Linked DNA regions of Drosophila melanogaster. The protein of the gene in region 2 interacts with the protein of the main gene of each other region in a pairwise test. Each region holds a gene or a part of one and is shown on either strand. Other genes may lie near its edges. The genes, in order: CG33191 and CG6138.

Evidence for each region.
Region 1: the proteins of CG6138 (region 2) and CG33191 interact in a two-hybrid assay, tested with the Drosophila melanogaster proteins (one large-scale study listed by BioGRID).

Annotation. Positions count from the first base shown.
Region 1 is NT_033777.3:8,777,832-8,781,936, forward strand, and holds CG33191 (uncharacterized protein), read right to left. Parts: upstream 2,093-4,105; 5' UTR 2,006-2,092; coding exon 575-2,005; 3' UTR 548-574; downstream 1-547. Other genes in the region: Pif1B (PFTAIRE-interacting factor 1B), read right to left, coding at 1-96; Pif1A (PFTAIRE-interacting factor 1A), read right to left, coding at 96-110; CG33189 (uncharacterized protein), read right to left, coding at 2,368-2,901.
Region 2 is NT_033779.5:10,565,105-10,568,659, forward strand, and holds CG6138 (uncharacterized protein), read left to right. Parts: upstream 1-2,150; 5' UTR 2,151-2,278; coding exon 2,279-2,836; 3' UTR 2,837-2,908; downstream 2,909-3,555.

The DNA.
Region 1 (4,105 bases), on a different chromosome or scaffold from region 2:
TGACGGCTTCCAGTGGTCTCTCATGTGGGATGCCTCGGTTTGTTGATGGCGGGAGTTGGGGTCGCTGTCGGAATGTCGCTCATGCTGCATGTACATCAGAGCCGGGCATTCTGTGGATGAAATGTTTGGGATAAAATAAATATCTAACAAGGATTTTATACATCAATTCAGGTAAAATAAGAATCTGTTAATAGCCGGCCTTCTGTAACCCTTCAAAAATTCTTGGCTACTTCAGGTTTCTTGCAAACATCTTGACTTGCACGATATTCCGAAACATTGAGCCTTAGCCGCTTACATAAGGTAAACGACATAAGTATGCCTTAAAAAATCAAATCCGTAAACAGGATTTAAAATGTGGGAAATTTCAATAAAGAGAAGTGATTACAATTGACATATAATAGAAGAAAACTGATCAGCAGGAAAGTTAGCACGCTTACGATATTGTGGCGGCTAAGGCTCGAAAATTCGAGCACTCTTAACCGATACCGAACCGATTCCTAAAACCGTTTCAACTCGATTCCCCGGCTAGAACACACATAATTCGATTCGATTTGATTCGGTGAGCAAACACATTTTATTCGATTGGATGGCTCGTGGGTACGAGCAGTTCCTTGATCTCATTGAGTTGGATCTCGCGACCCCGCGTGATTTCCGGACGGGACCACATTTCAGCGTGGTACAATTCTAAGAACTTGGCCTCCGCCTTTTCGCGGCACGGACAAAAATCGAAGTAGGAGGTCTGGCTGCAGACCTCCCGATCCTCGAACTTAGTGAAGATGGTGCCGCGCTGTACGCATCGGCAAACCTTGACATTGGTGTGCTGCTGGTTTGGGGCAAAGGAGCGTTGCTTCCACGGACACATGCAGCAGCCACAGTTGCCGGGACAAAACACATTGCCTTCCTCGTCCATAATAGGACTGGGATCGAAACGGCACGGCGAACAGTTGGAGAACTCCTTGTTTTGAGGCAGGGCAAGGTAGTACCGCTTGCTTCCCGGCGATCTTTCCGGCGGCGGCGGTCCCATTTCTTCTTCCGGCTGCGGTCCTAACATCTCCTGCTCGCTAGACAAGAGCTCATCGGATTCATCCGACTCGGTGATCGGGTGTTCCGGCTCTGGAGCATAGATTATCAAGTGCTCCTTCGGGGCCGTTGGTTCTATCTCCACCAACGGTTCTTCAATTGGCAGTGGCTCAGGCACTGGGGTAAGAGTGAGCTCTGATTCGATATCCGGCAAGGTCAGGCAGGAGATTGAGATGACCTCCCGTGCCCCCGGGTCGTGCCAGCGGCAACATGTGGCCGGAGTGCAACGGTTACACTGAGATGTTGAATCCCCACAGCTTCCTATGTATACCGAACTGGCGGACCCTTCGGCTAGCTGTTGCGATGCACATGGACGAAAGTGTTTGCTGGCGGATTTACCTGAGCTGGGCTTTGGAGCCCTTGGACCGGAACGCATATACTGCTGCGAGCGGCACTGGCAGATGGACTCTTTGCGATGCCTGGTGACCGGTTGTTTCTTTTGCTGACACTTGACCATCTTGCCGCTCTGCGGATTGAACTCCAGCGGCATCTGGACGGTGACGGGCTTTCCGTGCAACGGACAACCAGCGCGACCCTTCTTGGGGTCCACCAACCGAGCGGTCAACTCCAGGGTGACGGCACATGGCTGATTCCAACCACCTGACTTGTCAAAATTCTTGAGTAGCATCTGTGTGGCATTGGCCGCCCGTTCCAGGGCATCCCGTATCGCAGCCGGATCATCGAACTTGCACCGGCTGGTGGCACTACGGCCCTCCTTTGGCGAGTCCTCACCCGGACCTTGACAGTCGTAAAATAAGTCCTGTTCGCTGCGCGTCTGCTGGAAGTTTTCGCCTACGAAAAGCAGTCGGGTGGAGTCCAATCCGCGACTCAATGTCATGGAGCTCTGGTTAACGAAATGACTCCGGGAGTAGTCACTCCGAGCGATGCTTGGATCGATGGGCTGATTAGAGAATTCCTCGTCCATCACGCTTAAAGAGCTTGAACTGTTTTCCCCAAATCAAGCTCTGAACTCACATTAAATTTTAAAGTGTGTGTTGCCTGCTCGATTGTGTCTAAAATACTGATACCAAATGGAGCACAATAGTGACAGTATTGAAAACGTGACCTCACTGGCCTGCTAGTAACTCCTATGAATTTTCGATTTTCCTACGCTGTTCTATGTGTGGTGTAGCCAAAGCAAAGCGAAAATTTATAAAGATACCCAACATACCCAGCAATTACCAGTGAAAAAAATGCATTTCCCAAACATAATCCAATTTAGTCACCAATGAATTTTGAGAAAAAACAACTAAGTGAGCAAGACGTGGCTCTTGATAAGTTTAAAATTTACGTGTTTTGATTAGGTTCCTGGCAATCGGGACACACTTCATCCTTGTTGGACCACTTTACACTCGATCTTCTGCTCTTCGACTTGTTCTGATTTCCAGGTGCATTGCATCCACAAAATGTGCCAATTGACTTGGGCTGGAAGATGTTGACTTTGACCTGGCCGCTTTCCGGATTCAGTTCGATTGGCAGCCTCAGGGTCACTGGGTCGCCGATTAACTTGCACTGCCTGTCCTTGGGGCAAGGACACTTGTCGTCCGTATGTAGACGGGCACTGACCTCCAGGGTGGCCGGATAGAAAAGTGTCATCAAAGGACGAGTTGGCACGGAATCAGTGCCTCCGTAGCACCTTAGCAACCGCTGGGTGGCAGTGGCTGCCCGCTCCAAAACGGCCCGAATCTGGACAGGATCGTCAAATCGAGGCGCTTGCTTGCAGATCACTTCATCACCACCGCCCACTTCCAGATCTGGAGTCTCCTCGTCGTCACTGCGGCAGTCATAAAAGATGTCTAAGTCCTCAAACTCGCCAATCATAATGCTCAACGTTTAAACAATTTGGATTAATCTGATGCCGTTACGAATCTGCCGATAAAACAGTCTACTCTATACAAAGACAATAATCTCAGAGAACTATTGATGTTGAATTATAATGTTCCTGGTTAGCTTCCTATAATTAGATCTAATCTGAAGATCTTATACACGGCAACCTTCAAGGAGACCGAAATAAGGGTCAGTCACTTGGTAATTTACATTTATGTTTGGTGTATTTACATAGAAATAAAGCTCTATTTCTTAGCTCTGAACAAGGTGGAATTGCTCCTCTCCACGGGAATGTAGACAGTGCAGCAGAACTCCGATTCCGCCTTGTGGTTATGGAAGAGCAGAAGTCTTGTGTGGATTCGCTGCTCGATTTGTTGCAAAAGCGCCGAAGATGCAGGCTTAAGGGCCAACTTTAGGTTATGGACACAGTCCAGAGCAGCCACAAATCCTTCATAGCTCTCCTGCGTCTTCTGAGTACTCTTTTCAATCCACATGTCTTGCAAAAATTCAAGATGCTCACGGAAATCCTCTCCGCCCTCCCATAAGTGAAGAAGACGGGTCCGGAATGCGGCAACATCGAGGTATCCGTCCACGGCGCCCTGAATCAAATCCACGAAGCACCTGGTTCTCAGAGGCATCAGGAGCAGTCGTTGCTCCACACCCACATCGACCTGTGTTCCACACTCAATCGTCTCTGGTTGAACTTGCATCTCCTTTTCATTGCACTGTGTCGTGACCTGAACCTCCTCCTCCAGGGTTTTCACCTCGTCCGTTTGTACAAATGACACGCTGGCCAGAGATTCCCAATTAAGATTAACAACTTCAGCGTGAAGGGAGTGCAGGGAAATTCCGGATCTGGCCGAGTGAACCGAGTGAACTGACAACAGAGAGTGGAAACTACTGCAGGAGAGGCTCTTTTGAAGAGGGAAACCCAGAGTTCGATTGAGCGTACGTGGACGGTAAATGTGACGGAAGAGGAAACGCTGTATTTTTCGCTGGTGACTGTTTGGTCTTGGATGCTTCTCCTTCTTATTCTTTGCTCGCTTTTTGCTTTTCTTTTTGAGCTCGGGTTCGTGCTGCTGATCCACAGAACAAACCTCGTTGAACATCTGTCTCATGGAATAGGGCACCGCGGTGATCTTCTTCTCTTGCTCATCTGTTGGTCGAATTATCTGCGGATTCGCCCTGCTGTCTGATT
Region 2 (3,555 bases):
CTGCTCAAAGTGCAAGTTGCCCAAAGGAAACGGAGGGGCTAAATGTTTTACATACCCATGTAGTAGTAGTGGGTCTCAAAAGGACTCAAGTGGTCGGTCATCTGTTTGACAAAGTGAACAACTAACTGCTGGGAGTCTGAGTAGTTGTTTGAGCAGCTAAAATAATAGAATTTTCCCCTAAATTTGGCCAATGATGCCTCACTCGGGCAAATAGTAAAGGCAGAAGCTGCTCCAGCTCCATATGCAAATATCTAAGACATGGGTGGATGACAACCACACTACCGCATCCTCATCGTCATCCTTCTTGAAGTTTTCCTCCATCAAACGAAGGATACACAGCCCGATCCCATTTGTTTATTTGTTTACTTTTTGCCATTTGCCTGCATGCGAGTTTCCCTCTACTTTGTCGGGGTTTTCCCTCCACTTTCTTGTATTTTTGTTGTCGTCATTATTTTGCTGGCTTTTTTTTTCCTGTTTAGCCATGAATATTTTCATATTTTCATGTGACCACTTTTCGGATTCCTCCGACTGCGACTGCTCACTCCTGCGAGTCCTACGTTATCCTGGAAATTGTGAGCAAAACTTTCGGCTGCTGACTGCCTTCCTTCCTCGGAGGTCGCATGTGTAGGACCATGTTATTTAATAGGCTTCTGCGACTCGGAAGACGAGCACCAAATGGCAGGCAGCTCGGCACAGTGGAAAAAATGTAGTTTAAAAATCACACATTCCTTGAACTTTAAGAAATGGTTTGCATGCGTCAAGTAAGCCTAACTTGACAAAACGATTCTTTAATTTGTACATCCATCTTCATCAATTATTTTAGAAGGCATAACATTGCGTTTTGGTCCACTGTCCAAAAATATGCTCCTTGGTATCACAGGTCTCCTCGCTGCTCCCCGCCTCTCCTGATATATTTCCATCTCACCCTCTTTGTTTGTTTTGTCTGCCTGTCTGGAGTCCTCAGTCTTTTGGAGTCGTCTACATGTGTCTGCTCCTTGTCGCTATCCTTGCAACCCCGTTGGTGCCCCAAACCACAAGCGCCTTTCTTTCGACTTCCGTTTGTTTGCACAGTGGCTGCTGTTTTGGTAATGCGTTCAGATTATTAAACATATTTTCTGATGCCTGACAAATGGCAGGACAAGCGGTGGTAAAACTTTTCACGTGAGCAAAGAAGTTACGTAGTCTGATGTTTATGTTGAAATTTGCGCAATTAAACGAAACGCTAGTTACTTTAAGTGATCAATAAAAAGCAGGAACAGTAAGTAGGTCAGGCCATTAAAATTGCCACGCCAGGCGAAACAGAAACACACACTCTGGGATACACCCCAAAACGAGATTTATGTGTGTTTCTTTGCAGGGAGAAGGAGGAAGGAACACTGTATCCTATATGGTATCCTGCTCCTTGTTTAATCGTTAAAGGAATTCATGGTTTGTTTCTGGTTTTCTCTCCCTCCGGCCGTTCAAGTTTTCCTATGCGTTGACACACGAAAAAGGGGAGCCACCATACCACATATATGTATTACTTTGATCGGCAACACACGAACTTGCAACTCGACCATAGAGGAAGCCACCTGGCGTCGACAAGCGAACACACTTTGGTTAACTCGGCTCCCCTGGGACTCTCGCTTTCAGAAGTTGCTGCTAAATGCTTTCTGATTGTTATTTTTCGTGTTTTCCTCGGTTTGCCTCGCTTTCCTCCTCCGGCAACTGCGAAATTACAATTATTACACGGAGACCCAAACTCAAGTTTTCCACTTCTTGCAGTTCGCTTCTGCCTCGGCTGCTTTCCCTCAACTTTGCTTTTTGCCGCTCCAAATGCAAAATCTGGTAATGTAGGCGTGTTTAACACAAACTTAAGTTGTTCGTAATGACTTTGTAGCAAAATTCGGTAGGGATGGAGTCGGATTGAACGATGGAGCGGTGGGAGGATGTAGATTAGGGCGGTACAGGAACTTAAGATGCCATTCTTAAAGCCCTCAGACGGAATTAATGAAAAAAGTTTGCAGTTCGAAAAGGACAACCAATGGTGAGGCACAAATTACAAGATGATGCGATAGACCAAATATGCAATAAAGTAATAAGAAAGTAATTTATACAAATGAAGAGAATATACAACTTTCTAATAATGAAAGTTAAAGATTCTATCGAGGCATTGGGGTTAGATAGCTTTGCTTTTCTCATCGTCGGCATAGAAATCAAATTTGAATAAAATTTCTAAATTTTAATAAAGTTAATTTTCTTGGAACATACCAAACAATCATCGAAATCAATAAAAGCCATGGAGGATGACTTGGAGTTTCTTATCAACGCCCTGTCGGTGCCAAACACTCCACTCACCGAACCCTACGATGAGGGGCAACTTCTAGAGATGCGTGAATCCTTCAAGACGCTGCAGAAGCTCCTGCGGCGCAGTTCGCTGCCCGTAGAGGAGAGTCTGCGTTCCATGCCGAGATCGAAAGCTGGAGGTCAACTGGAGGCATTGCCATCCTTGCTGCCTATTGTGGACAACAATTACGAGAGGACCAGCGATAAGGCGTGGAACTCGGCGGAAAGCGGAGCCCGTTCGTCGCCCATCATTTCGGAGTGCGGCCTGGGTGATTGGGATAAGGAGGATCCTTCAGATCCTTCAGATAGGGCACTGGTGCCCTACGAGGAACTGGGCAATGAGCGAAGCAGTTCGGACACCACAATCACCAGCCGTAGCTTCGCATCGTCGGGAATCTCGCTCAGCATACCTGTTCACTTGGTATGGAACAACAAAGAGTACAATCAGGAGAGCACGGACAGTGAAACTACACTTATAGCGGACGGGCGCAGATACAGTATTACAAATTAGGCCACATAGTATTTTTCAAAATTATAGTAAGCGGATTGAAGTTTCATACATATTTAATAAATGGTGAATAACATTTATAATATTTGAAATATTTGAAAAAGGTATACAAGCATTCTTGTTAGTGGAACCACTTCGGCAAATCCTTCATCAGTGAAGCGCCTCTCTACGTGATTCTCAACAAGTTTAGCTCGGAAGTGGATGGCAGATCACGGATCCACGTCATCAAATTAGTTCGCATGACCTGACCCCAGACACAGTTTTAATGAGTGAGCATACCAACAACATGGGGCTTTGACCCCCTGCTTAACCCATGCTGGCCACTCTGAATGGTAGCAATGGAACTTGTAAAAGTGATTAAAACGGAAATTTAATTGAAATGCGCACATTTGCGTAGGCATTTGCCCATTTCCGTTTGACTGGGCACGCAAACCACTCTCGGATGCTCAGATACCGGCATACAGAATGCCAAATGTTTGTCTACAAACAAATGGCCTGCGGTTATTTTGCATAGAAGTGCTGGGCGATATATATATTTTTGAATTCTGCGTTCCTGGATGTAATTTCAATATTTTCTGGTGTTTGCGTGCGTGCAGCAATTTCCTCGACTGCCGAAAAATTCTAATTTCATTTCGTTATGAAATTTGCTCTCTGTCCGTTTCCATTGCCGATTTCATTTGTATTGAAATGTTCGCCAGGGACTGGTTTGTACAGGTGAGGCC